Linked DNA regions of Rattus norvegicus. The protein of the gene in region 6 interacts with the protein of the main gene of each other region in a pairwise test. Links are inferred from orthologs where the notes say so. Each region holds a gene or a part of one and is shown on either strand. Other genes may lie near its edges. The genes, in order: Trim54, Mipol1, Card9, Golga2, Cep63, Fam161a and Ccdc57.

Evidence for each region.
Region 1: the proteins of Fam161a (region 6) and Trim54 interact in binary tests that used the Homo sapiens proteins (3 or more experiments, as listed by UniProt). The two-hybrid records come from large-scale screens. The link is inferred for Rattus norvegicus from reciprocal best matches to the Homo sapiens genes FAM161A and TRIM54.
Region 2: the proteins of Fam161a (region 6) and Mipol1 interact in binary tests that used the Homo sapiens proteins (3 or more experiments, as listed by UniProt). The two-hybrid records come from large-scale screens. The link is inferred for Rattus norvegicus from reciprocal best matches to the Homo sapiens genes FAM161A and MIPOL1.
Region 3: the proteins of Fam161a (region 6) and Card9 interact in binary tests that used the Homo sapiens proteins (3 or more experiments, as listed by UniProt). The two-hybrid records come from large-scale screens. The link is inferred for Rattus norvegicus from reciprocal best matches to the Homo sapiens genes FAM161A and CARD9.
Region 4: the proteins of Fam161a (region 6) and Golga2 interact in binary tests that used the Homo sapiens proteins (3 or more experiments, as listed by UniProt). The two-hybrid records come from large-scale screens. The link is inferred for Rattus norvegicus from reciprocal best matches to the Homo sapiens genes FAM161A and GOLGA2.
Region 5: the proteins of Fam161a (region 6) and Cep63 interact in binary tests that used the Homo sapiens proteins (3 or more experiments, as listed by UniProt). The two-hybrid records come from large-scale screens. The link is inferred for Rattus norvegicus from reciprocal best matches to the Homo sapiens genes FAM161A and CEP63.
Region 7: the proteins of Fam161a (region 6) and Ccdc57 interact in binary tests that used the Homo sapiens proteins (3 or more experiments, as listed by UniProt). The two-hybrid records come from large-scale screens. The link is inferred for Rattus norvegicus from reciprocal best matches to the Homo sapiens genes FAM161A and CCDC57.

What each region holds. Positions count from the first base shown.
Region 1 is NC_086024.1:30,975,676-30,979,830, reverse strand, and holds the start of Trim54 (tripartite motif-containing protein 54), read left to right. Parts: upstream 1-1,355; 5' UTR 1,356-1,539; coding exon 1,540-1,707; intron 1,708-4,155. UniProt on the Homo sapiens protein: May bind and stabilize microtubules during myotubes formation.
Region 2 is NC_086024.1:80,577,330-80,580,829, reverse strand, and holds part of Mipol1 (mirror-image polydactyly gene 1 protein), read right to left. Parts: intron 2,280-3,500; 5' UTR 2,210-2,279; coding exon 2,076-2,209; intron 1-2,075.
Region 3 is NC_086021.1:29,572,405-29,575,402, forward strand, and holds part of Card9 (caspase recruitment domain-containing protein 9), read right to left. Parts: coding exon 2,889-2,998; intron 2,822-2,888; coding exon 2,642-2,821; intron 2,507-2,641; coding exon 2,363-2,506; intron 2,096-2,362; coding exon 1,970-2,095; intron 820-1,969; coding exon 628-819; intron 217-627; exon of another isoform or gene 165-216; coding exon 123-164; intron 1-122. UniProt on the Homo sapiens protein: Adapter protein that plays a key role in innate immune response against fungi by forming signaling complexes downstream of C-type lectin receptors.
Region 4 is NC_086021.1:35,988,283-35,991,782, reverse strand, and holds part of Golga2 (golgin subfamily A member 2), read right to left. Parts: intron 1,378-3,500; coding exon 1,282-1,377; intron 1,036-1,281; coding exon 992-1,035; intron 893-991; coding exon 829-892; intron 483-828; coding exon 426-482; intron 252-425; coding exon 171-251; intron 1-170. UniProt on the Homo sapiens protein: Peripheral membrane component of the cis-Golgi stack that acts as a membrane skeleton that maintains the structure of the Golgi apparatus, and as a vesicle thether that facilitates vesicle fusion to the Golgi membrane.
Region 5 is NC_086026.1:112,081,847-112,086,074, forward strand, and holds the start of Cep63 (centrosomal protein of 63 kDa), read right to left. Parts: upstream 2,801-4,228; 5' UTR 2,528-2,800; intron 2,416-2,527; exon of another isoform or gene 2,185-2,415; intron 1,817-2,184; exon of another isoform or gene 1,668-1,816; intron 322-1,667; exon of another isoform or gene 313-321; coding exon of another isoform or gene 284-312; intron 1-283. UniProt on the Homo sapiens protein: Required for normal spindle assembly.
Region 6 is NC_086032.1:101,209,376-101,213,493, reverse strand, and holds the start of Fam161a (protein FAM161A), read right to left. Parts: upstream 2,801-4,118; 5' UTR 2,565-2,800; coding exon 2,544-2,564; intron 158-2,543; exon of another isoform or gene 1-157. UniProt on the Homo sapiens protein: Involved in ciliogenesis.
Region 7 is NC_086028.1:106,674,227-106,677,726, forward strand, and holds part of Ccdc57 (coiled-coil domain-containing protein 57), read right to left. Parts: exon of another isoform or gene 552-3,500; coding exon 342-551; intron 1-341. UniProt on the Homo sapiens protein: Pleiotropic regulator of centriole duplication, mitosis, and ciliogenesis. Critical interface between centrosome and microtubule-mediated cellular processes. Centriole duplication protein required for recruitment of CEP63, CEP152, and PLK4 to the centrosome.

The DNA.
Region 1 (4,155 bases), on a different chromosome or scaffold from region 6:
TCAAAACTTTTTTTTTCTTTTTCTTTATGTGTGTCTGTGTGAGCATCTGCATGCATGTGTCCGTGTAAATGTCTATGTGCACGTGTCTGTGAGCCCATGAAGGGCGCTGAGTCTCTTGGAGTTACTATTACAGATGGGTATGAGTGCTGGGATTTGAACTCCAGTCCTCATGATTGAACAGCAGGCTCTCCCGGTCACTGAGGCATCACCAGTCTATGCTTGTTTCAGGTTTAAGCAAATTTAGCATCCTTGCAATGGACTAATGTAGTTGTGGACCAGAATCACACGCTCTCACGTCATAATCCTAAGGCAGGTCTGGGCCTGGTACAGCAGCCACCTCTTGCCTTTGAGCTGCTCTCCTAGGATGATGCCACAAGGGCGAGCCAAGGGCTGGTGACGTAGCCCAGTTAGCAGAATGCTTCTCCAGCATGCTTGAGACCCCGAGTTGACCCCCAGCACCACATAAATGGGGATAATGGTGCTTTCCCCTCAACCCAGCACATCGGATGTAGAGGCAAGAGGATCAGGAGTTCAAGGTCATCCATGGCGAGAATGAGTTCAAAGCTAGCCTGTCCTACTCAAGAACCTGTCTTTAATAAGGGAGAAGGAAGAGATTGTTCTCTGGGGAAAGCCACTTGTCACCAGTTCTGAGGACCTGAGTTGGATTTCTGGCACATGCTGCAGAAAAAGAATTTTCTTTTGTCCTGTGACTTCCACTTGTGCTCCAGGTTGCACCCACCATTCCCCCTAAGTAAATAAGTGTAGGGTTGCTTTTTTATATAAAGGCTGGGCAAGAACAAATACGGGGCAGACATATGGAACAAGATGTTCTCTCTCTCTCTCTCTGGTCTGCCGTTCCACTTCTGAATCATGGAGGAGGGCCGGGTCACTGGCTAAGCCTGTAGAGGAAGCGATGACGCAGTCTACAGGTCTGTCCAGGTCTTGCCCCCCACCTGGGCCCAGGTATGGCACCTCTCCCACAGGCTAGTTTACACTGCGTTTCTGTTTGGAAGAAGGTCCCAAGCCAGAGCACGGAGACCAGTGTTCGGAGGAGCCTTTTCAGTGACAGCGATAGAGCCCCACACGCCACTGGCCACCCATTCCTGACAGTCATGGCCACTCAGTCTGGGACAGCTGTGTCTCGCCTTACATGAGCTAAATTGGGAACTGGAATGTCACAGCGGTGCCCCTGTGTCCCCACCCCCACAGTAACATTAGTCTCTCTCGGGAGGAACAAACAGTGCTGCCCGCAGAGCGAGCAAGAGGGTGGTTTGGGGAGACAGGAGGAGAATCTCACAGGGAGAGAGAGATAAACTACAAGTGCCTGGTGAGGGTTCCGAGCAGACAGAGTGTCTGGAAATAGCCCAGGGAGAGAGGAGCTGTTAGAGGAAGGGACAGGAAGCACCGCTCTTTCCAGAGGGAGCAATATCAGGGATCCCAAGAATCTACAGTCAGCCTAAACTGACAGCGGAAGGGCGCGCAGGCAGGGGGAGAGAAGGCCAGCAACAGGGCCACAGCAAGGCACCAGAGCACCGCGGGATGAACTTCACGGTGGGTTTCAAGCCGCTGCTGGGGGATGCACACAACATGGACAACCTGGAGAAGCAGCTCATCTGCCCCATCTGCCTGGAGATGTTCTCCAAGCCCGTGGTGATCTTGCCGTGCCAACACAACCTGTGCCGCAAGTGTGCCAACGACGTCTTCCAGGTGGGCTGGGACAGGTGGGGGACGGTGGGGGACAGGTGGGGGTCGGTGGGGGACAGGTGGGGGACAGGTGGGGGATGGTGGGGGACAGGTGGGGGTCGGTGGGGGACAGGTGGGGGACAGGTGGGGGACAAGTGGGGGATGGTGGGGGACGGTGGGGGACGGTGGGAGTCGGTGGGGGACAGGTGGGGGACAGGTGGGGGATGGTGGGGGACAGGTGGGGGGTGGTGGGGGACAGGTGGGGGATGGTGGGGGACAGGTGGGGGATGGTGGGGGACAGGTGGGGGATGGTGGGGGTCGGTGGGGGACGGTGGGGGACAGGTGGGGGACAGGTGGCGGATGGTGGGGGAGAGCCCACCCCTGGGAGCCGGTGAAACTGCCCTGGCTGAGAGGCAGGAGAGTTGAGGGTCCCAGAGTAAGGTCCCAGAGTAAGGTCCCAGAGTCAGCATGAGTCAGCAGCTACCCTGAGGCTGGTAAGCATAACCTGTGTCTACAGCAACTAGAAAGTGGGGTCCACCCAGCACAGCAGAAACTGGAAAGGAAGATCGATGGTCTCGCATGGGCTTAGTGGGAGCTTGGACTAGATTTCATTCATTTTGAGGCTTTTATATGTATATGTATATACATATACATATACAAACACACACACATATGAGAGAGAGAGATAAATTTTTTTAAACAAACTCTGGAGAAAAGATCAAGGATATATTGAGATCTTTCTCTCTCTCTCTCTCTCTCTCTCTCTCTCTGTGTGTGTGTGTGTGTGTGTGTGTGTGTGTGTGTTAGCTAGTGTGGCTACCAGACCTCAACTTGAGTTTGATTCCCAAAACATAAATGATGGAAAGAGAGAACTGACTCACAAAAGTTGACCTCTGACCTTCACTTATATGAACACAGACAGACAGGCGCACACACACACACACACACACACACACACACACACACTTTAAACAATAACCTGGTGTGGTGGTGTATGTATGCCTGTAATTCGAGCACTTGGGAGGCTAAAACAAGGGGATTGTCATTGTTTGGTTTTGTTTCTGAGTCAGGGTCTCTGTAACCCTGGCGGCTGTCCTGAAGCTCACTATTCAAACCGGGCTGACCTTGAACTCACAGAAGATCCTCTTGCCTCTGCCTCTCTCGTACTGGGATTAGAGACATCGCTGCCATGCTAGCAAGTGTCACCTTATTTACATAGTGAATTCTGATCCAACTTGGGCAACAAAACAAGACCGTTTCAAAAAGTAAATAAGAAAGAGAAAACTAAAATTAAAAATTGTTGGGGCTGGGGATTTAGCTCAGTGGTAGAGCGCTTACCTAGCAAGCACAAGGCCCTGGGTTCAGTCCCCAGCTCCGAAAAAAAGAACCAAAAAAAAAAAAAAAAATTGTTGGTAAACCGGTGAGAAATCCTTCCATACCAACAGAACTGTGTGTATTTGAGGCAGAGCCCTCTGTCCCTGAGGGGTCTGATAAGACACAGTGGGCCACAGCAGGAACATTCTCTCCAGTTTCACACCGGTGATCCTTCCTGACCTAGTAGGAGATAAATGGTATCCAGGCGACTTACAGACAGACAGACAGACAGACAGACAGACGGCAGAAACAAAATTGTACTTCCCAGAAATGCCTGGGTGTCTGTGGTCATGAGGCCAAGCATAACTAGGTGAAGTCACAGCACTATTTTATCTACACATCTCCAACGCAAAAACAGAAGAGCTGAGCACGGCTGCAAACCCAGCCCTTGGGAGGTTAAGGCTGGCTTGGGCTGCATAAGACGCTGTCTAGCCAACTAACTAACCAACTAACTAACTAACCAACTAACTAACTAACCAACTAACTAATCAACTAACTAACCAACCAACCAACTAACCAACCAACTGACTAACTAACTAACCAACTAACTAACCAACTGACTGACTAACTAACCAACTAACTAACTAACCAACTAACTAAATAAATAAACCAGAGTCCTTTATAAGTTCCTAGGCTTGCCTCCTGGCTCTGTGTCTTGGTAGAGGTCTGAGTAGTTTATGACTGCATCAGAGGTCAGGGAGAATGAAGGAACAGAACTCACATGTACAGACACCGGACCTCACAGATGAAGTAACCTGGATTCCTCAGAGCTGGCTCTCCTGGTGGGCAATCTGTGATGGGAACACCAGGAATACACTTCTTGCCAGGAGCCAGCCTGGGATCCAGCGAGGAAGGAGCACCACAGGCTGGAGGCTAGCCTGCTCTATGTAGCAAGTATACCTGTATACCTGTAGAGTAAGACCCGTCTCAAAAGAGGAAAAGATAACTGTCTGGGGCTGAAGAGAGGACTCGGTGGTCAAGAGCATTTGTTGCTCTCCCAACCAACCCAAGTCCAGTTCCCAGCATCCACGTGGTGGCTCGCAACCATCTGTAACTCCAGTTCCAGGGGCTCTGATGCCCCCTTCTGACCCCCATGGA
Region 2 (3,500 bases), on a different chromosome or scaffold from region 6:
TGGTTCAGTCTGACTAGATCTGGTTCAGTATACCTAACAAGAGATCAGATTAGAGGCTATAAAAGCTATAAATGTTTTGATTTATAGTTCTGTTTGGGAAAAACATGTATTTTTTGCTTTTCTGAAAATGGAAACAACAATTTTCCCAATTTTATGAAAACAGTATCATCTTCATATTTTCATTATTAACTGAAAGACATTAAAATTAATATCTATTCCCCAAGGAGTTAATAGTAAATACATTCCACAAGACAGCTGACAACAACATCGACCTGTAAGCAGGTAGTATAGAGAAGAAATGAGAAAAAGATGGGTTGTTTCTGGTGTCGAAGTGTTAAGTATGTAAGCACTGATGGGTGTGTTACTTAAGCCGGTCTTTGGCACTGAGCCCTTGGGACAGGCAGCGAGTATAGGGCTCTCATGCTCTCATACTGAATTATACCACAGAGCTCATGGAAGGAACACAACATGAGCTCTACCATTTATGTTTCTTGTATGATTATAAAAATGTTTATCCATTCTCCCACCATCCTCTATACCAAACATATACTACCAATTGTACTTTGGTAAGAATCTGACACTAAGAGAGAAGAACACCAATACAGTTACTGATTTTACTGTGTATTGATAGCAGTGAATGTATCTGAACAATTTTGAAGAGAAAAGCAACCCTACAAAACTTTAAAATAGTATGTGAGGAAACACAAAAATCAGAATTATGTTGTCATTTTAAAAATCTAGTGTTACCTTTACAGCACATAATTAATAAACAAAGCAGCATAATCTCATTCATAATAAACACAGGTATCATAGACTCAAATTTCTTTACAGAGTATGACTTAAAGCCACAGAATGTAGAATAAAAAAAAAGGTAGACAGAGTACAGGATCACTCTAAAAGTATTCAAATTACCCAAAACCAAGAACATGGCGATGAAAAAATAAACACCTTTGACCAGATTTGAGCTTTGGTGAATAACATATCATTTATATCAGTTTCACACAAGTATCCTTATATAATAAAGTCATAGTGAAACTCAAGACGGATGATCAAAATGTGAATGCTTCACTCCTTCTTTAAAAGGGGAACAAGAATACACTTGGCAGGGAATAGAGAGGCAAAGATTAAAACAGACACAGAAGGAACACCCATTCAGAGCCTGCCCCACATGTGGCCCATACATATACAGCCACCCAATTAGACAAGATGGATGAAGCAAAGAAGTGCAGACTGACAGGAGCCGGATGTAGATCTCTCCTGAGAGATACAGCCAGAATACAGCAAATACAGAGGCGAATGCCAGCAGCAAACCACTGAACTGAGAATAGGTCCCCTATTGAAGGAATCAGAGAAAGAACTGGAAGAGCTTGAAGGGGCTCGAGACCCCATATGTACAACAATGCCAAGCAACCAGAGCTTCCAGGGACTAAGCCACTACCTAAAGACTATACATGGACTGACCCTGGACTCTGACCTCATAGGTAGCAATGAATATCCTAGTAAGAGCACCAGAGGAAGGGGAAGCCCTGGGTCCTGCTAAGACTGAACCCCCAGTGAACTAGATTGTTAGGGGGAGGGCGGCAATGGGGGGAGGATGGGGAGGGGAACACCCATGGAGAAGGGGAGGGGGAGGGGTTAGGGAGATGTTGGCCCGTAAACCGGGAAAGGGAATAACACTCGAAATGTAAATAAGAAATACTCAAGTTTAAAAAAAAATAAAATAAAAAAAAAATAAAATTTCATTACTTTCTTTAAACTCATTTTGTGCTTTCTCTCAGCTATCTAGATACATTATATCAACATCATGAAAGTAATTGAAGCCCTTACAGAGAACAGAAATTTTTTTATTAATTAATTATTTAATTTCTTTACATCCCAACTGTTTCTCCGTCTCCTAGTTCGCCCTCTCAGAGTTCTTCTCCCATACCCCTCTCCCCTTCATGCTGAAATTGTTTTTAAGTCACTAACACATTAAATTTATTAGACTCCAAAATGAAGAAGAGAGAAAACGTATTAAGGGAAGAGTGCTATTTCAATTCTTACTTTTTCGATGAAACACTGAAACCAACACGCACCTGCACGTTGCAGATAGAACTTCATCTGGACAAGGACGGAGGACCTGACAATTGCTGGATTTTCTTCCTGGTAATACAAGGTCCTGAGATGTGACTTCATTGCCTAACTCGTGCATGTTCTGCTCTGAACTCATAGTCAGCTGCTCATCTGCTGGTGCGTCCGCACTTCCCACAGAGGTCAGTTGTACAAGACAAAGGTCATATCTGCATTAAACAAATGACACGTGATATATGAAAGGACACAGGCAGATAGGAAGATGGTTGAGTCAGATGACCATGCTTAGGAAAAGAACCTCATGGACTTGAACACAGTCACTGGGATCACTCTGCAGACGAAGTGTGTGGAGTGCAGCATTTGTCGTCGGCATTCCTATGTCCGTGAGCAGAAGACATTTACATCAGTGGTTCGCAACCTTCCTAATGCTGTGACCCTTTATGCAGTCCCTCATGTTGTGGTCACCCAACCATAAAATTATTTTGTTGTAAATTTATAGCTGCAATTTTGCTATGATTATAACTTGTAATGTAAATATCTGTTACGCAGGGTAGCTGATATGCGACCCCTGTAACAACATTCAATCACAGAAGGTTGAAAACCTCTGTTTAGAGTAATAGCTTACAAGTCAGGCTCTACACTGCTACCTGAGTTTCTAAAATGGGGCAGAGAAGGCCACACCTGTGCTAACTCAACAAAAGCTTCTGGAAGTGGATCAGCTTCTATGTTTTACATTGCCTAAATGATTACAGTTAATGGAGACGACCATTAATTTAAACATATACTCAAAGTAGTAAGTATAAGAAAATGATAATAGTGAATCAGTACTATGCAATGTAACTGTGATTTGCCCTGTCTGTAGAAAAAATTACAGCCTTAATAAGTGTATAATGATGTACAAGATATTTAACATATCACTTTCTGTCTATAAAATGTAAATAAAAAATATCACTGACTTAAAGAAGTGCCTGATATCAGTAAAGATGATTTATTTCAGTAAACATCATTATAATATTAAAATGAATGGAATTACTTTAACCTCAATGTCATCAAAAAATACAATACATTATTAAATCTACTTTGTATGCCTAATTATAATCACAAAATTATTTAAGTTGTATACACTAAGCAATATTTATTTTAAAGAGATAAAATATATTTCATGGCATAATAAAGTTTGGGAGGAAATCATTATTACTAAAATTAAAAGACACAACTATTGATTGCAACTTTTATGTACTTTATTAAGTCTAGAAGAAATAATTCTCCACCTGTAAAAAGTAGGCTTGGCAGTATTACAGAGCAATAGTGATAAATATATATATGGTATTGGTAAAAAGAAGGCAGATAGACCAGTGAAATAGTATTGAAGACCCAGAAATGAACCCACACACCTATGGTCACTTGATCTTTGATAAAGGAGCCAAAAC
Region 3 (2,998 bases), on a different chromosome or scaffold from region 6:
CCTGTATCCAGCCCAAAACGAGAGAAAAGGGACAATCCAGTTTAAGAGCCACATGGGAGATGAGTGTGAGGTCAGGTGGAGGTTGAAGGACAGGGAGAGGCCCACTCTGTGTCCATACTCACCTCCTGGGAGTTCCTGGGGGAACTGTCTTCCAAGTCAGAGCTCTGTGGCCACAGAAAAGGGAGTTGGTCAGTGGGCGGTAGGGGCTCCAAGCACCTGGGCATGGGGCATGTAGGGCAAGATAAGAGCCCCCTCCAAGCTCCATCCTCTAGGGCAGCCCTGCACATATCTCTAGATATGCCCAGATATGTCTTTCTTAACACTACACTGCCAAGCCACCAGGTGACTCCCGGGGCAAGGCCACTGTCCTTGGAGTGGTGTGACTGACTGGGCCTTGGGTTATATTTATGGCTGTCACTTCACCATGAAGAGCTCTAAAGAGGAAAAATGGGATTCAGGAAGGCCAGGCATCTTCTGAGATCACAAGCAGAGCACCAGCCATTCCAGGCTAGGCCTGGGGATGCTTCTGGGCTGCATGGTCCCTCAGGAATCTTGCCTTGACCCCGCATTCTCCCCAGCTCCCGAATCGCCCAGACTGCCCTAGCTACAGCAGACACAGAGACCTACCAGGATGAGCATGTCCAATTGCTGCTGCTTGAGTCTGCCCTCAGCGGCCAGTAATCGGCTCTCGGTCTGGAACAGCTGCAGCTGCAACTCGTCGGCCTTCTCATCCAGTTCTCGAACCTGCTTTCGCAGCTTATCTTTGTCCTGAAAGCTTTGGGCACACTGTGCATGCAGCTCTTCCCTTGAGGTCATAGCCTGTAGGAATGGCCAAGGCCACACCCTCAGCAAGGGACCTTGGCTCTCATTTGGCAGTATAGGTCTTGGCCCCTACCAGAGGTCCTGGCGGGACATCAACCACCCTGCTGTGCTGCTGGAGTTGCTGAACTGGAGGGATTCTCAAAGCATTGGGGCTCGAAGTACAAGTGAACAAACACTGGGTGGAATAGGGCAGGCCCAGAACCTTAGCACTTGGGAGGCAGAAGCAGAATCAATAGTTCAATGCCATATCTGGAGGCAAGATTGGGTTGCATGAGACTTCGTCTCAGAAACAAAACAAAACAAAACAAAACAAAAAACACTGCAAAGAAACAGCCAAAAACCTCTGTGATTAACACACAAGTCAGTTCCTAGGAAGCCCAACTGAGAAGTCCTACATTCCCAGCAGACAGTGTGTGTGTGTGTGTGTGTGTGTGTGTGTGTGTGTGTTTCCGTCCCTCCTATGGGACATATTTTATAAATTCTGGATGTTGCTTGACATCAAAAGCAGGATCCATGGCTGTCCTTAAATGAACACAATGTGTGTTTTTTCTTTCTTATCCCAGGCTGGCCTCATATATACTAGGTAGCTGAGGATGGCCTTGAGTTTATGATTCTCTTGTCTTTACCCCTAAATGCTGGAACCGGCATGTACTACTAAACATGGCTTTTTGAGACAGGGTCTCACATTGGGCCCCAAACTGGCTTGGAACTCACTGTAAATCAGGCTGCCCTTAAATTCACAGTAATTATTTTGTCTCAACCTGCAAGTGCTGGGATTACAGGTGTGAGTGAGTCACCACTGCCCCTACCCGGGAACCACCACCAGCTCTTGTACCAAATGCTCCCCACCCCCAACCTATGCATCTGGCAGCTTCCTCTCCCCTACTGAAGTCTCCCTCCCACCTATCCCTCCCTATCCAGCACCGGGACTGCAGTGTTCTCCTGCTACATAAGCTCTTCCTTTGAGTAAGGTTAGACCTGACTGCATTTGTACGAGCAGCCCCAGGTTCTATCTTTCAACACTGCCAAGTTACCTTGAGCATAAATAAATAAAAAAAATGCTTTGGCCGCAGCAGCTCCAAAGGCTGCCACACCAATACCCCAGCACTGCTTGTTCTCAGTTTCTGAATGCAAGTGTGGCACCCACCTGGTCCCGCTCAATGGAGACTTCCTCCATCTGCTGCAGGATAGCCTCGATCCGGTCCTTGTACATCTTGGCATCCTTGCGCAAGGCCAGGCACTGCAGCTCGAACATCTCCTTTTCCTCCATGCACTACAGGAAGCACCGCTCAGCCTCACTCCCTCCCCTACCCGAGCTGGACAGACAACAGCCCCAGAGCACACAAGACCAGGCTGGCTGGGGTAATGAGGAAGACACTGGAGTCCCAGTCCACAGTAGGCTAACCTAAGCCCAAAGGGTGACCTTAGCTGTGGACACACCACCGTGTACTAGGAATTGATAAAGGGGAGACAGTGAGCTGTCCCAGACCCCACCATCCAGGATCCCAGTGGGCATTGCTTGCCTGCCCTGGCCTCTTACCCGGGTCCGGAGGGCCTCAGCCTGGCGGAGGTCCTTTCGTAGGGAGAAGATGGTGCTGGCCTGCTCCTGGTGTTCCTGCAGTGCCTGACGCCAGTCCTCCTCCAGCACCTGGATGTATGGGCTATTCCTGTGTAGCTTACCCTCCTGGAGGTGGCAGGGAACAATAAGCCTGGCTGAGGAGGCCCACAGTGCCACAGCCACTGCAGTTGTACCATCTGGTGTGCCCAGCTTCAAGCCCATGCAGATGCGAGGCCTGGTGTGCACCGGTGGTATTCCTACCTGCACGGAGACCTCCAGCTCCTGCACCCGGGCCTGCAACAAGTCCCTCTCCTGCTGCAGGTCCCACAGCAGCTCCTGGCTAGGCCGCTGCTCCATGGCGTGCCGGAGCTTCAGTGTGTGTTTGCGCTCCACCTTGCAGTCATCCTCTGCCTTCATGAGGCTGTGCCTGAGCTGGTCCACCTGCGGGTGGTCCAGTCAGCCACAGCCTCCTCCTGACCACCCCGCTGCCTGTGGAGTGAGCCATCACCTCAAGCTGCAGGTCACGGTTCCGCATGAGTGCTGCTCCCTTCTCTTCACTCAGGTGAGCCAGGCGCATGGCCAGGTCGTAGTTCTCATCCTTGCAGCGCTTCAGCTCGG
Region 4 (3,500 bases), on a different chromosome or scaffold from region 6:
GAACCATGCTGCATGCTCTATGCTCTGGCTGCCTCCAGCTAAGACGGAAGCCCCTAGGTTTTCCATTCCCCCTTGGTCCCAGGGGCCCCCTAGTCCCTTTCTTCAGAGCCCAAAGGGGAAACTGGAGCCCAGGACTGGCAGCAAGAATCAGGGACCCCGCTGACTCTTACCAATTCCTCTATCGTGCTACTGAGTTGTTTGTTTGTTACATAGCTGGAGTCCAGGGCTACTGCTAGCTCTTGGTACCGGCTCTGAGGCGCATGCAGAGAGGAGGAGTTGAGGAAGGATGGGGGAAAGGGAGAAAGAGCATCATTAGGGGTGGGGGTGGTGGGCTGTCTCAGCTGGCAGCGGGCACCCAGGTCCCTGTAGGAGGAGATAGGTGGTTGGCGTAAAGGGTTGCTCGGCCATGATTCAAGGCCACTTACCTCCAGTTCCTTCATGTTGGAAGACGTGAGGCCCTCCCCGTTGATGTAGGATGTAGACTAGGAGAGACAATACCTCTCATGGAGATGCTCTGTGACCCTCACTGTCTAATCCCTGCAGCCTCCTATTCCCCCTCAACTAGCAGAGTCTGCTTTCCTGTTCACTCACACCCTCTTGTGCCACTCCTCATGGCCCCTAAACCCCCATGGCTCAACCCCGCTGCTCAACAGCTGTCACCTCGAACTTTCCACACCAGGATAAACAGGATAAAATCACATTGCCCATCGAGGTCCAAATCCAGGTCTTCTCCAAGCATGACAAGAGCCGCTCGGGAATCCCTGCCTCGTTTTCTACTGTGCCTTCCTTTCCTCTCTACCTTCTCTCTGGACCCCAGTCCTGTGGTACCTCAGACACAAGGCCATTGAGCTGTTGAGAAAGTTGTCGCAGACTCTCAGTCGATGAGAAAGTCCTAAGGGAGGAGACATAAGATCAGGGGTGCAGGTAGTTTGATGGAAACAGGGCTCATGGGCAGAGGCCTGCCCTGACTCCCTCAGTAGGGAACACTTACTTGGTCTCCTCCATGAGGTTAGAGCAATTGCCAGCATCGTGGCTCTGTGTGGGTAGAAAGAAACAAGGTAACATTATTCAGCTTCTGCTTACTGTCACACAGGGACACCATGAGCCAAATTCATCTCAACACCCATCTTCCCAAGCCTTCCCCAGCTTGGCCTCCCCATGCCAGGCTCCCGGAGCAGCACCTGGACCAAGCTATCTGAAGAGAGAAAGAGTTCAAAGAACTTTGGGAGTCCTTCAGGAAGCAGACAGGAGAGTGTCAGGCAAAGTGAAGAAAAGACAAACCTGAATGAGATCAGCATCGGGGGAAGGGACGACACCAAGAAACATAGTGGCAGCAGCAGTACTTGGTGGTGCAGGAGCAGTGTGGTCTGTGGGCACCTGTCATAGAACAGAGCAGGATGGTTAGAAGACCATGCAGGAGAGAAGGGCCTCAATGCCACGGACACGAGGTGATGGGGCAAGCAGGGTAGCACAGCGGCAGGCACAGGACAGTTGCACATGCTGGGAGCTACTGGGGTACAGACAAGACATGCCCAGGTCTCAGGCTACTTAGTAGCATTCTGAAGGGCCAGAGCTCAAAGCAGGGGCTGCAGGGGCTCCTTCCTGAATACACAAGGACCTAGTTCCCTATGGAGCTCTGACCTGTGGCAGCCACAGCAGGTAGACAAAGTGCCAAGTGCAGGAGGCAGAGAGCTAACGGCCCCTGACTATAGGTCTTGCTCCTGGGATGGACTCATCATCAGGGTCAACATAACCATTCTCCCTCTCCTCTTGCTTTCCTGCCTTCCCTCCTCCCAGACCCATGCACTGGCTGTGTTTGTCGATTCAGAAACAACTGAGTAAAGTAGAGAACAATGGCTGCCCTTTGGCTTGAAGTATCTAGAAGATCATGTAAGCTTCCTAGGAAAAGCAGCCAGGGACCAATCCTAGGATTTCCTATATGGCAGCTTGTAGAAGTCTCCCCACTTCCCTGGCAGGAACTATCTGCTTGACCAGCTGTACCCAGCTCCTCCTCAGGCTCAGGCCTCACTTGTTTGTTTTATTTTCTGAGACAGGGGCTCACTATGTAGCCCTTGCTGTCCTGGAACTCACCCTGTAGACCAGGAAGGCCTTGCACTCACAGAGCTGTGCCTGCCTTTGCCTCCCAGGTGCTAGATTAAAGGTGTGCGCACACCCCTAGGCCTGGTAGTTCAGGCCTCACTCTTAGACTATGTCTCTGGCTTAGAGGTCTTCTCAGGTCCAACAATCCAAATAGGCAAAGGATGGGAAGACAAAAGGAGAGGGACAAAAATTCCAGGCCTATCCAGCAAGGCTGCTCTGGGAGGAAGTGGCCATTCCTTTCTCCAAAGAAATGGCTGCTTGCTTTCTGAAGCCTTCAGTCTCAGCCTCTGGAGATGCTAACCAAATTTCCTCCTTTGAGTAAGTGAGAAAGGACGTCTGAGAACTCAAGTGTGAACTTCATTCTCTTCAGGTTTACTGTGACTAACGTCCCTGTAACACATGTGACTGTCAGTTCTGAATCACACTTAGGTGTTGCCTTGACAATGTCTACAGTTGAGTCTAACAGGTAAGACCAGGGACTCAGTGGCAGCTGGCCACACCTGAGATAGTCTGGAGGTGTGACATTCCCAGCAACAGACCCTTCTAGGCTTTGGGTCCCTTGTAGCATCTTAGTAACACACATCTCTAAGCCTGGCAACATTCACAGAGGCACAAAATAGATAAAAATATTTGTCTGAGTACCTTTTGGTTTTTGTCTTAGGTTTTGAAACAGGGTCTCTCTGAAGTTCATGCTTGCCTCAAACTTGCTATAGAGCCCAGGCTGACCTCAAACTAGAGACCTCCTTTCTGCCTCTGCCTCCCAAAAGCAGGGATTATAAAGATGGGACACCACGCACTGTTGGGAGACTTTCAATTGCTTTGTGAGGAACCATGTAACTCCCCAATTTTAAGTCTTAGAGCTAAGCATGGAGTGCTTACAAAGTTTTCACTCTCCTCAAAATACCCCATCCCATCAGAAACTATTTTTATTTTTCCATAACTTCCTGTTTTATTTCTACTCAGAAGATGCCAATTTCCTTTATCCCTGGAGTAGAAAGTCAGTTATGGTTCAAGAAAGTTTTCATAAACACATGAAAAGTCTTCACTTCCTGAACAGAGGGGCTAGGTGCTCTGGTCAGTATTTCCCAAAGGGGAAACTGAAGCCCCAGCTCTGTGTGACTGACTCCTTAGCACAACAAATGCCAACTCTGTGCCCCCAACTCCCACACGCACAATGTGCCACGTCTGAGCTGAGCACGGAGGCACAGCACCTGAGCCGACCACACCTGGCAGGATCAGCTCTGTTGGCTGAAAACAGCCCAATGCCAGCCTGCGAGTCCTCACCCCGCCCATCCTCAGCCCCACAGGATGTGGCCTTGGCTCAGGCCACCCCTTCAGTTGGACAGAAGCCTGCTCCTTTTGTTTGGTGGATGTCCCCTAACATGTTAACTGAAGAACTA
Region 5 (4,228 bases), on a different chromosome or scaffold from region 6:
ATGTCCTGAGTTCAATTCCCAGCAACCACATGGTGGCTCACAACCATCTGCCCTCTTCTGGTGTGTCTGAAGACAACTACGATATACTCACCTAAAATAAATAATCCTTTTTAAAAAAAAATTGTTATATGTTCAAACAATTTAAACACATTAAAGTCTATTGGTTTGTTGGTTTGTTGGTTTGTTTTTAAGGTAACGCCCTTGGGTTACTTTTGGAGGTTGCTAAACTACAGATTTAAACACATTCAAGTTTATCTGTTTTAAGGTAGAGCCCTTGGGTTACCTTTGGAGGTTGCTAGGCCACCAATTCATTGCTGTAGTCTGAAAGGAAAGGAACAGAGTTAAGCATTTTCTTGCTATTCCTGGATAAGCTGTATTCAGGATAGTCAGATAAGAGTGCACTGGGCGCATGACCGTGGCTGTCCTGCAGTAACAGACCTGGGCACTATTAGCCATGTTAAATCTCTCTATTGACCAAAGGGCTCCTGGGCAATTTCATGGTGGATCAACTGAGCAGACAGCATAGGAACCACTACATACACAGCTTAATCTCAACATCCCAAGTGGGATGACTCAGACATTACAAGTCTCCCTGATAATGAATGCAACCGATAATTTTCATAATATAAAGCCTATAACTATTACGTTTTTCTTATACCTCCAATCAAAAATCAAGGTTGAATCTAACACTATTTCAAAAGATCATTGTATTTCAACAGAACTTTCTGTAATTATGGAAACATTTTATCTGTATTGATCAAACAGTAGCCACTAGGCAACCTGTGAACGCTGGGTATATCAAATGTGGCTAACGCAATTGAGGAACCAAACTTTTATTTCATTTAAAATATCAGGACTGGCTGATGACTGCCACACTGGACAGTGTAATTCAAGATTTAGCCAGTGGAGGAGAGGTCATAGAAGAGTAGAGGAACATAGTCAAAAATATATACAATCAGTTAAATCTGAATGATAAATGGAGGTAAGAAAATGCTATAGATTAGAGGGCTTTAAAGGCCTAGCAATCGAAGGCAACAGACAGTTCTCTGCAGGAAATCTGGTCCAAGCACAGTATTTCAATTTCAAGCACATATGGAGTAGCTGAAAAACCCTGAACCCATTGGATATTGATATTGTGTATTTGTTATAAATTTGTACTGATATAAAGATAGCACCGTGATTTTGTAAAACTTAAAAAAGCAAATCTAGCCTTTGGCATGGAGAGTACCTTAACTATGTTAGCTATGATAGTGTGGACTAATGCTGTCACCATCAGCCACTACACAGGACAGGAAGGCCTAAGGAACTGTCCCCTACCTCCCCACAGGAGGAAACAGCATCAGCAGATACACATTCTAAAGGGACATGCATCTGTTTATAAATCTCTAACCCATTTTAGTTTGACAACCTCCTTAACTGATCGCTGAGGACGGCACAGTGAAAGACAAGAAGCAGGGACAAAAATTACCTAAAAATGGCGCTGCATTCCAATGAATGAATATAATTCATGAATGAAACGAAGATAATTCGTTTCATCGTATCACTAAGCTACAGCCTTTAAGAGTAGGTGTAAATAGTTAGATAATTAAAGCCATTGATCTTTGACTTACAAAATATAAATACAAAATAAATGCAAATGTTCGAAGAATTGTACAAAGAGCACCTACCCTGCTTTAATAAAGTAATACATTTTAAAACTCTAAATTGGCCTCAAGAAAGAGAACTCAAAAAGCCAGGCGAGGTGGTGCAGATCCTTAACTAGCAGGCAGAGGTAGGTCCATCTACAATGAGGCCAGCCTGGTCGACCAGAGCAACAAAGGAGAGCCGGTGCTAGTTGGAGAGAAAGGGGATCGCTTTGAGCAATAAGTGTACAGTTTATAAATGAAAACTCTGTAACCCCACGATTCTGTGAAGTACAAAAGCCCTTTCCAATCAATCCATTCACGGTCAAGTGTCTCCGCGTAAAGCGTTGTTATCGAACTGCTCTTTCAAAACTTTCACTCGACTTGAAAGCGTTCCGCAATTCGCCTGCATCAGGGGTTCCCGCACCTTTCCTACGAACATTACGAGGGAACCCTGCGGACTTCACGCTGAGTGGCTAATGCTAAGGCCTGGTCCTACACCCGTAGCAGCAGGGTTCCTCCCCGGGAGCGAAGCAACCCGCCCTCCCGCTGGCCGTAGCACCTGGCCGGTCAGCTCAGAGCCCCATAGGGAGGAGACGGAGGAACCCAGGGACGCAGCGGCCGGACAGCAGTGGGCGTGCAGTGGAGGCCCCCGCGGTAGGTGGGCCGCAACGAACTGCGGCCCCGGGCCATGCGGCCAGAAGGTTAGCGGCACCACGGTGGCCAGGGCCGCAAACGCACAACAAGCCGCAGCTCGCCCGTCTTAGGGGCATGCGGTCGGTTACGGAGCGCGCCCCCGGCAGAGCGCGCCCCGGGGCCTGCCCGCCGTTCCTCTGACCGGGAACGCGCGCACGTCACAATAAATCGACGTTCGTCCCGCCCCCTACAGCAGCGAATGGACTCACCTACATACGGGGTATGAGAGCGCCGTGCGTCACGTGACCCGGAAGAAGGGCGGGGCCCGGAGGAAGCCGACGCGCGCTCTGTGGGTAAGGGTTTTTCGCGCCCGCCGCCCGGGTTTCTGAGAGTAGCCAAGCGTTCGCCCTCGACTTCAGAGTCGTTCAGCGCTTCCAGAAGCGCAGGCCGGTACTCTCAACCGACCTTCAGAGCCACTTCTTTACTGCACGCTGTGCGGAGTGGAACGGAGCACCCATGGCGACGCTCGACCTCCCCCTTGCACTTCCGCACGTAGTAGCTCCAGCACTCGAACCGGAAACGGCTGCAGCGGGTGGTTCTGCGTCTAGTGACCCAAGATGGTGGCCTGCGAAGGCCAATTTTAGTATCGGCCCCCGTGCTTTTAGCTTAGAAATACATTTACAAAGCTGTGATTGTGAAAATACATAAAACGTGAGTATGTCTCATAGGACGTACGCATCTAATATCTAGAAAGAGATGTCTGGACAAAAAAACTCCTGTTGTCACATATTGTGCTCAGAGATCAAGACAATCTGAGAGCTGAGAATTTATCTGGAGGACCGGGCATAGTAAGAGAAGAGTACAAAAAGTTTAAGAAACCTAGAGAGGTTATGCTGTGTCGTAAGGGTTTGGGGCATTGCCTGTGCTTGCTTTTCCCAGGGGGAGCACCCGATCACCTGACCCAGGAAAATAGATGTAGACTTCAAAGCCCTGCCGCGGTTCCTGTTGTTTAGAAGGACGAGCAAGCATAACTGATGAAGTACAGTGGGTGGGTAAAAAGCAAGCCGGTTTGTAGGCATGTGGGAGAGGGTCGTGTTAAAAAACATTGAGGCCGGGCTCAGGGAGTTAAAAAATCATGAGGCCAGGCTCAGAGAGATGGCTCAGGGGTTAAAAACACTGTCTACTCTTCTAGAGGTCCTGAGTTCAATTCCCAGCAACCACATGGTGGCTCACAACCATCTGTAATGAGATCTGGTGCCCTCTTCTGGTCTGCAGGCATACATGCAGGCAGAGAGCTGTATGATATATACATAATAAATAATTAAAAAACAAACAAACAAACATTGAGGCCAGCTTGTTGAAAGATTGGGAATCACCGCATTACCACTGGAGACAGTAGGACTCTGCCAGTCAATCACAAAGCTGACCTAACTTGTTTCATAGATCATTTAATGTGAGCAACAAAGCATTCAAGGACAAAGAGCCTGCTAAAAAACTGGAAGGAAGTCAGAACACTTTAGAAAAGGATGCAGTCTGTATAGGACTGGGAAAATCAGTACAGGAAAGAATGAAATGTAGCCCAAGACACAGCTATAAAAACAAAAGATTGACAGGAAAGGGGAGGAAACTTGTCAAGCCCTAGAGGAGTGACTAGAAGTGGCTCTTCAGCTAGCTTTGCATTATCCACTAGCTAGGGTCTGGTTAAGTCTGAGGAAAACTGCTAAGCCATCACCTGGTTTTCACTCAGCAGGAGGAGCTGACCACCTTTGGCTTCAGTGTTTGTATGCGGGTGTGTGGTGTGTCTGTGTGCATGAGCAGACAAAAAAGGTGTGGTTTCTGCCTACAGGTGGAGTCGTAGATGAGTGTAGAGGTCAGAGGTCAACGTCTGTGTCTTCCTTTATTACTTTGAATCTTAAACTAAACCTGGAACTTTCTGATTCAACTAGACTGCCTGGCAGCCTCCCGGAGGA
Region 6 (4,118 bases):
TTCATTTTTAGGGAACTGATGTGAAGCACTTGACTTCTCACCTCACTGCTTCTCTCAGTGAATGTGGGACCCTCTGGGCCTTGTTCCAGGCCTCCTACTATGGTGGCTAATCCTTAATCTCTTTTGATGTCTCTATTAAATGTTGAGGTTCTCTCTGTCTCTGTGTGCCTGTGTGTATGTGCCTGTGTGTGTGTGTGTGTGCACCAGAGGTCAATGACAGACTTTTTCTCCCCTCGGTGACACAGATACAGGCTGGATTAGACCGGATTAGAAGTGGATAAAGGCAGGTTTATTAGGGGGCAGCTCTTGGGTGGGTTCATCGATCTCACAGGTGGAGGTCGGTGACGTCACATCCAGGCTAAAGCAAGGGGGTTTTACAGAGCTTTGTGAGGAGTGAAGATCTGCTAGCTAGGAGCTGGGATGGTTGGTGTGCACGTGTGGTCAGAATCTGAGCCCCCGGGGAGGCACTCTTGGGCAGGTTGTCTGGAATTCGGAGAGGAGTGATGATGTGTTAGCCTGAGTTTTCTCCCAGGTGGGCGGGGCTGGGGAAAGGAGAGCAGAAGGAGTTTCCCAGCCTGTGCAGGGGTGAGCATCAGTTGCAGGAACATCCGATCTCGGGTGAGTTCCCTAGTCCATCTTATCTTTTGAGATGGGGCTTTCGGCAAATTCCAGGAATCTGCCTGTTTCCTCCTCCCGAAGCACTGGGATTATACACAAAAGCCAACACACCAGGTGTGTATGTGGGTGTTGGAAACCCAAACTCCACTTATAACACAAATCTTCAGTGAGCAGGGCACTTTGGAACCTAAGCACAACTATACAAAGGACAGACCTTTCTGCCAGAGTATATGTCAGTTTCCAAGTGAATTGTTCAAGCTGGCAGTTATAATTACGAATTTATGTAAACTCTCTAGAAATGACACCCATTCTCTCCTCTGGTTCTTATTAACAGAAGATGGGGGCGATTATAGTCCTTTTACAGACAGAGAAACAGAAGTCATGTCCTATAATCACCCAGCGAGTAGCAGACAATGGCTTCTGATCCAGAATCCAACTCCTTCCCTCCATTCCAGCATTCTGCCTTCTGTAACCTTTGATAGATTGTGTTGAATGGCAGCCTTATCAGGTATAAACCAGTCCTAGGATTCTGGTGGTTTGGGCCTCTGTCTACTTTACATAACCTTGAAAGAGCTGATACAGGCCAGCCACGGTGCCTGAATCCCAGTATTGGGAAGATGGAGGCAGGAGGGTCAGGATTTTAACAGCAAATTTGAGGCAATCCTGAACCAAAGGAGACCCTGTCTAAAATAAAACAAAAACCAAGTTTGTAGCTGTTAGTACAGCACTTGCCTAAAGCACAAACCCTTCATCCCACCCCCAGCACTGCTAAGAAACCAAGTGGCAGGGGTTGGGGTGGGGACACATACACACATGTGCACGTGCACACACACACACACACACACACAGACATGCTCCTTCCTGGTGCTTTACACCAGCAGAGTGCTAGACTTTTTAAGTGAATAAAAGTTGGGCATTTTACTATGCACCTTTAAACCAAGCACTCAGGAGGCAGAGGCAGGCAGAGCTCTGTGAGTTTGAGTTCCAGGACAGCCATGGCTATGTCTCAAGAGACAAACTAAAAAGGATGCTGCAATGGCTTAAGAGCACTTGCTGCTCTTGCAGAGCACCTAGGCTTGATTCCCAGCCCCCATCACAACCGTCAGGAACTCCCAGGAACTCACACTGCGCACATTCATACACATAAATCTAAAAACAAACAAATGAAATGAATAGAACGGATAGAGCCCTGGTTGCCCTTCCAAGTTCCTGAGTTCAATTCCCAGCAACCACATGGTGGCTCACAACTATCTGTAATGGGATCTGATGCCCTCCTCTGGTGTGTCTGAAGACTGCGACAGTGTACTCATATGTATAAAATAAATAAACCATAATCCATATGTATATGGAAAAGAAGTAGAGAGGATAGAGGAAGACTGTGCCCTCCTGCTAGAAATGCATCCAGGACATAATACTGAAAATGTTTTGCGAGAAGACCTCACTGCACCCGTATGGCCCCTTTAGTAAACTTTGGGATTTCGGGGATTTATCTGGATGTTTCTCTATATCTATGGAGCATCTGTCCACTGAACTTCAAACAGGCTTTCCTAAAGGACTGCTAAAATCCACTACTAACCAAAACCGATAAAATACACTTGTCAGTCCAACTTATCATCTGAGGTTTTATGAAAACTATAGATAGGCACATCAGTTTTCCTCAAGGGAAAAAACAAAAATTAAAAATAGAAAAAAATTTAAAAAACTGAAGAATATTTATTCTCAAGATATGCTGGAGAATAAATAAGTAGAATTCTGTTCTGTGCACACTCTAGAAATAGCTATAAAAATGCTCTCCAAGAAAGTTTTGCATTAGTCTTTAGTTGGAGCAGAGAGCAGGAAGGGTCTGCAGAGGACACCGCATTTCCACCCGTCCCTGCTGGTGAGGACCCGGACAGCCCCCAGACCCCGCCGGGCTCCCACATTACCGACGCCCGTATCTGCCACATCCTTTTCTTCTGTTTCTCTTCCACGGCCGCCGCCAACGCCGCTGCTACCAAGAACTATAAGGGGTCTTCGCGTTCGTACTGGGAGGCCCTTGCTCCTGTGATGGGATTTGCGGGCAGGTGGAGGTTGGCAGCAGCCAGTCTGATAGCCTAGTGCGGCGAAGCCACCGCCCCGCCTCCGAGCCCGAGCGCCCGCGCCGGCCCGGGGCGGGTGAGCTGGCGCCGCCGCCTCGCTCGCAGATCCTGGCTGGGGAGAGCGGTTACTAGGGGCACGGTTACTAGGGACGCTACAGGAGGTGGCGAAGGACCGTAACGCAGGCAACGTCCTTTCTCACTGTCACAAATGCGAGCCCCGAGTCCAGCTAACGTCTAATGATGGTTTCTGATACAATCCTGCGGTTTAACGGGGCATTCTAGAAGCATAACTATCCGAATCTACACTAATGACTACCACAGTAAGCTAAAGTAAAACGCAGTCTTCAAGAGAGTTTGCTCAATGGAATCTCATCAGCACCGGGACTATTACTGATTCTCTTGAATGACACCCAGATCCGCAGCTAGGGACTGAGCTTTTCTCTGGTTTCTAGCTTTATTTCGTTCTATCTGAACGAGGACTTCTCGCGGTATACGCAGAAAGCGCGTTTTTATTAACTGGATCAACATATTAGAGCACAGAGGAACAGGAAAGAACGGGCGTTGGGTGACCAGCCCAAGAAAAGGACAGGCTATGCAGCGTGCTATTCAACATGGCGGAGAACGCAGTTCATCTCTAATTGACAAGAATTTCACGAGTTGACCAATCAGAGGGAGAATACTTATTTGTCCCGCCCTCCTGTTTCTCGACTGACCAGTAAGACGCTAGACATAGGAAATGCCTGTCACTCGGACCAGTGAGTGATGGGGTAGCTTGTCTTGGGGTTCTGCAGCTAGCTTAGCCGCAGGCTTGGAGGGGGAGAACCCACAGGGACCACACCCTCCCAGCTCAACCCCACCAGCCTCCTGATCGATCTTAGGTTTTTGGCCGCTTCGGATGGTCTTTCAGTGAAGTCTCAGCCACCTGCAACGTAACACTACTTAGAAGTAGCGCCCCTGTCCCCACCATAAGGTTCCAGTAGTTTCCACATTATGCGGCTCGCCTTCCACTGAACCTGTTTCTGACGCAGTTGCTACCAGCCCTTCCTTGCTCGCCCCTGCGAGGTCTCCATCACCTCACCTTCCCTGCCTCCTCTGGTTTGGCTGAGCTTGCCTCTTGCAGGAACTGATGGGTACTGGTTGGTTCTGAAAAGCTAGAGGTGGGGAGGGATCCATAGCCGTCGGAATGACAGCTAGTTCTGTGACGGGATTTGGTGTAAGCCAACTCAAAAACAAGACCTGTCTACAGACTGAAGCCCTGTAAGCTGATGGTTTTAGGATCATGAAATAGTAAATAATGGGTATGAAGGACATCAGTGTCCTTCAGTACAGAGAATAGGAAAGTTTCGACCGACAGTATTCTAAATTTGCAGACATCGAGTAACAGCTAAAAAGAGGGAGGGGAACAGAAATGGGCAGATCTGA
Region 7 (3,500 bases), on a different chromosome or scaffold from region 6:
AGTCCCCACTGGCTCCCCTTCTAGGCATACCAAGAGTTGGCATGCTTTTATCTGCAGGGGCCTGCTACCCAAGCATGCCCCATCAGCCTGCCTGCTGGCTACTTCTCCCACATCTGGCCCTCAGTCACGTAGGTCACTGCTCTACACAAACACTCAACAGTTTCCCATGGTGCCAGAGTCTGTAAGGCCCTGAAAGCCCAGCTCCACCGAGGACATTCCTCCTCTGAACTCGAACTCTAGCTTCTAGGTATCCCTGAGCACATAGGTGGGTTCTTGTCTTCCTCCTGCTGAACTCTCTTCTGCGCCCCCACCAATGTCTATGGACCTTCTCGCCCTCTCACCGTACTTGAGTCCAACCACACCCACTCCTGTTTCATCACGTCCACAGGTAGTGAACTGTCCCAAGGTGTTCTCCGCTCGGTGAGGGCAAGCATGACAGGCATGACAGGTATCCGTGCGCAACCCCGGGCCTGAAGAGCTACCAGCCTGTAGCATACGTTCAGAAACACTTCTGAAAGGAGTGAGTAAATCTCCTCCAGCGTCTTGTGAACCTGTGACGACCAACAGGAAAAAGGGTTTCTCTGGTTCACAGTACGTGGTGAGGTTAAGCAGACCAGTCAGTTACTAGCCGTCAGCTTGTTTAAATTTATAAGAGAAAAATCATTATTTCATGAATCCACTCTATTTACAAAGGTGACCGACACGTGAGACTCTGGCCCAACAACAGAAGGCAGGGCCTTGAGGAATACTGCGTTTACACAACTCTCTCCTGACCACCACCCAGAAGGCCAACACTGCTCCAAGCCACATCAGGCTGCTCTAGGCAGACTGCCCTGGGCCGCCTCGGGCTGGCTATTCCAGCCTCTATGGGGGGAGACCTCTCCCTAGCCTCCTGCAGCAGAGCTGGCATAGTAGCATGTCAAGGTTTCTTGAGTCCAGAGATGGGGATGCCGCCTGAATGACGGAGCCAAAGTTCCCTTGGACACCCAAGTGCATTCCACTGAGTCTGAGCAAACCAACCTCTCAGCAGCCTTTTCCAGCTAAAGACTCTCTTGAGACTCCTTTGGCGACTGTGGCGCCACCGCAGGGGAGTCGTTTCTTAGTTGCTGAGTTGTTTTTGGTGGTTGTTGCTAACTTTTTAGACAGGTTCTCATTTTTTTTTTTTTTTTGGTTCTTTTTTTTCGGAGCTGGGGACCGAACCCAGGGCCTTGCGCTTCCTAGGTAAGCGCTCTACCACTGAGCTAAATCCCCAGCCCCGACAGGTTCTCATTTTGTAGGCCAAGTTATCCTTAAACTCATGGTGATTCTCCTGCCTCTGCCTTCCAGGTATTAAGATTACTTGCTACCTTGAACCACCATATCTGGTATAATTAATCTTTTCTTGACTACATATTTCCAGGATCTGGCTCAATGGGCAAGACTCCTGTCTGTTTTGGAAGTCAAACCTGTTGTTGGTTGATTAAACAACGTCAGACCCAGGTAGGTGCCCTGACAGGTAAAGCTAGATAGGAACAGCAGGGGTGACAGAGACCTCGGGTGACAGGCAGGGTGAGCAGGAGAGAGAAAGAGTTCTTGGGAGGTGGGCTTCATTGAGAAGCTCATTTAATTAGGGGAACAAAGGCTATTTATTTGAACCTTTGGCGGTGAGAAAGGGCTATGGGATGAGTGAGGTCACTGGCCAGGGCCAGGGTACTGGAGATGCCTTATTTGCATAGGGAGGAGTCCCAAGTGCTAGCTGAACTTGACCTTATAAGGAGAGAGGAAGTTTAACCTGGATCCCAGCCACCAGGCTAGGTGACTCCCTCAAAAGTCACAGGGGTGGGAGCATGGGTCTACGTATGCTAGGACATGCAGGCCTAGAGCAGGTTTATAAGAGGTTCCATCTTGAGAACTGCTCTTCTCAGTGTGTCAGATCCTCTGGAACTAGAGTAACAGATAATTGTGAGCTGCCATGTGGGTGCTGGGAATTGAACCCAGGTCCTCTGGAAGAGCAGCCAGTGCCCTTAACTGGTGAGCCATCTCTCCAGCCCCTAGAAGTACATATTCTTATGCTTGGTACAGCTACTGACCTGATAGATGTCTGTTCCTTTGCCCATAAGGCCCAGTAGTAGTAGGCCTGCTTTTGGCTGCCAAGGCTGAAATGTATCTGTACTGTCCTACCTGAGGCTTCTATTGGCCCCAGACCCCATTCTGCAGTTTAGCTCACAGGGATATTGACCTTTCCACATGAGGACACGGCACTGGTCTGTTACACTGTTCTGCTTGATTCTGTTACTGTGATAAATTGCTCCATCAAAAACAACGTGGGGAAAGAAGGGTTCACTCAGTAAGAGGTTATAGCCCATCATCAAGAGAAGCCAATGCAGGAAGAGAAGCAGAGGCCATGGAGAAATGCTGCTTGTTGGCTTGCTCCCCCTGGACTGTTCTTTCTTCTGCAGCCCAGGATCACCTGTCGAGGGTTGGCACTGCCCACAGTGAGCTGGGGCCCTTCTACATCAATTAGCAATCAGTTAGCAATAAAAGCAATTCTCAGTCAAGGTTCTCTCTTCCAAGGCCTCTCAGGTCAATAACCAGAATGAGTCTCACACTGATGGCAGTGAAGATGGCAGAGGACACCGTGAACTTAGTGGTGACAGACTTGCATGTCAGTGGTTGGGACGTAGAACCTGACTAAAATGCAGCGGCCCCTATCTCTAGAATCCAAGTTCCTGGTCTGGCACCTGCCACAGCCAAAAAGCAGGAGACCCGACGACGGGCCTCTTCAGACTTTGGAGGCAACGCACACCTTACTTGGATGCCACTGAGCAGTCCCAAACACTACCTGGGTTACTAATAAAGTGGGGAACATGGCTACCTTCAAAAAGGCGTCAAGTGTTTGCCTTTTCTCCCCTCTCCACTTGTTTTTTGAGGTAGGGTCTTGCTGTAGACCTGGCTATCCTGGAACTGAGATCCCCCTGTGTCTGCCTCCTGAGTGCTGGGATTAAAGGTGAGAGCCACTATGCCTGGCAGTATGAATGGGACCTAAGATGCGAGAGAGCTCTCTAGTAGGTCAAGGACAAGGCTGCTATGCTTTGTCACTTGGGTCATATGACACGACTCCATGGTGCCTGAGGTGGCAGAAGCTTCAACATCATCCACAGATAACCAGGTCTCTAGGCTGGGGATGCAACTCAATTGCTTAGGATGTGCGAAGTTCTGGATTTCACCCCCAACACTGGGGAAAAATAAAAGGACGAACCCTCTCCTTTTCTGTTTGTTTGTTTTGTTTTGCTTGGTTTTTGTTTGTTTAGATGGTTAGTTTGGTTTTTTAGAGATGGCATCTCATTGTGTACCTCTGGCTGCCCTGGAACTCACTATGTAGACCAGGCTGGCCTCAAAATCAAACATCTGTCTGCTGCCTCTGCCTCCCAAGAGATCAGATTAAAGGCCTGTGCCACCATGCCTCAATGGTTTGGCTTTTGTTATTTTATCATTTTTTTTCCTCTCCCAGAGCTGAAGAC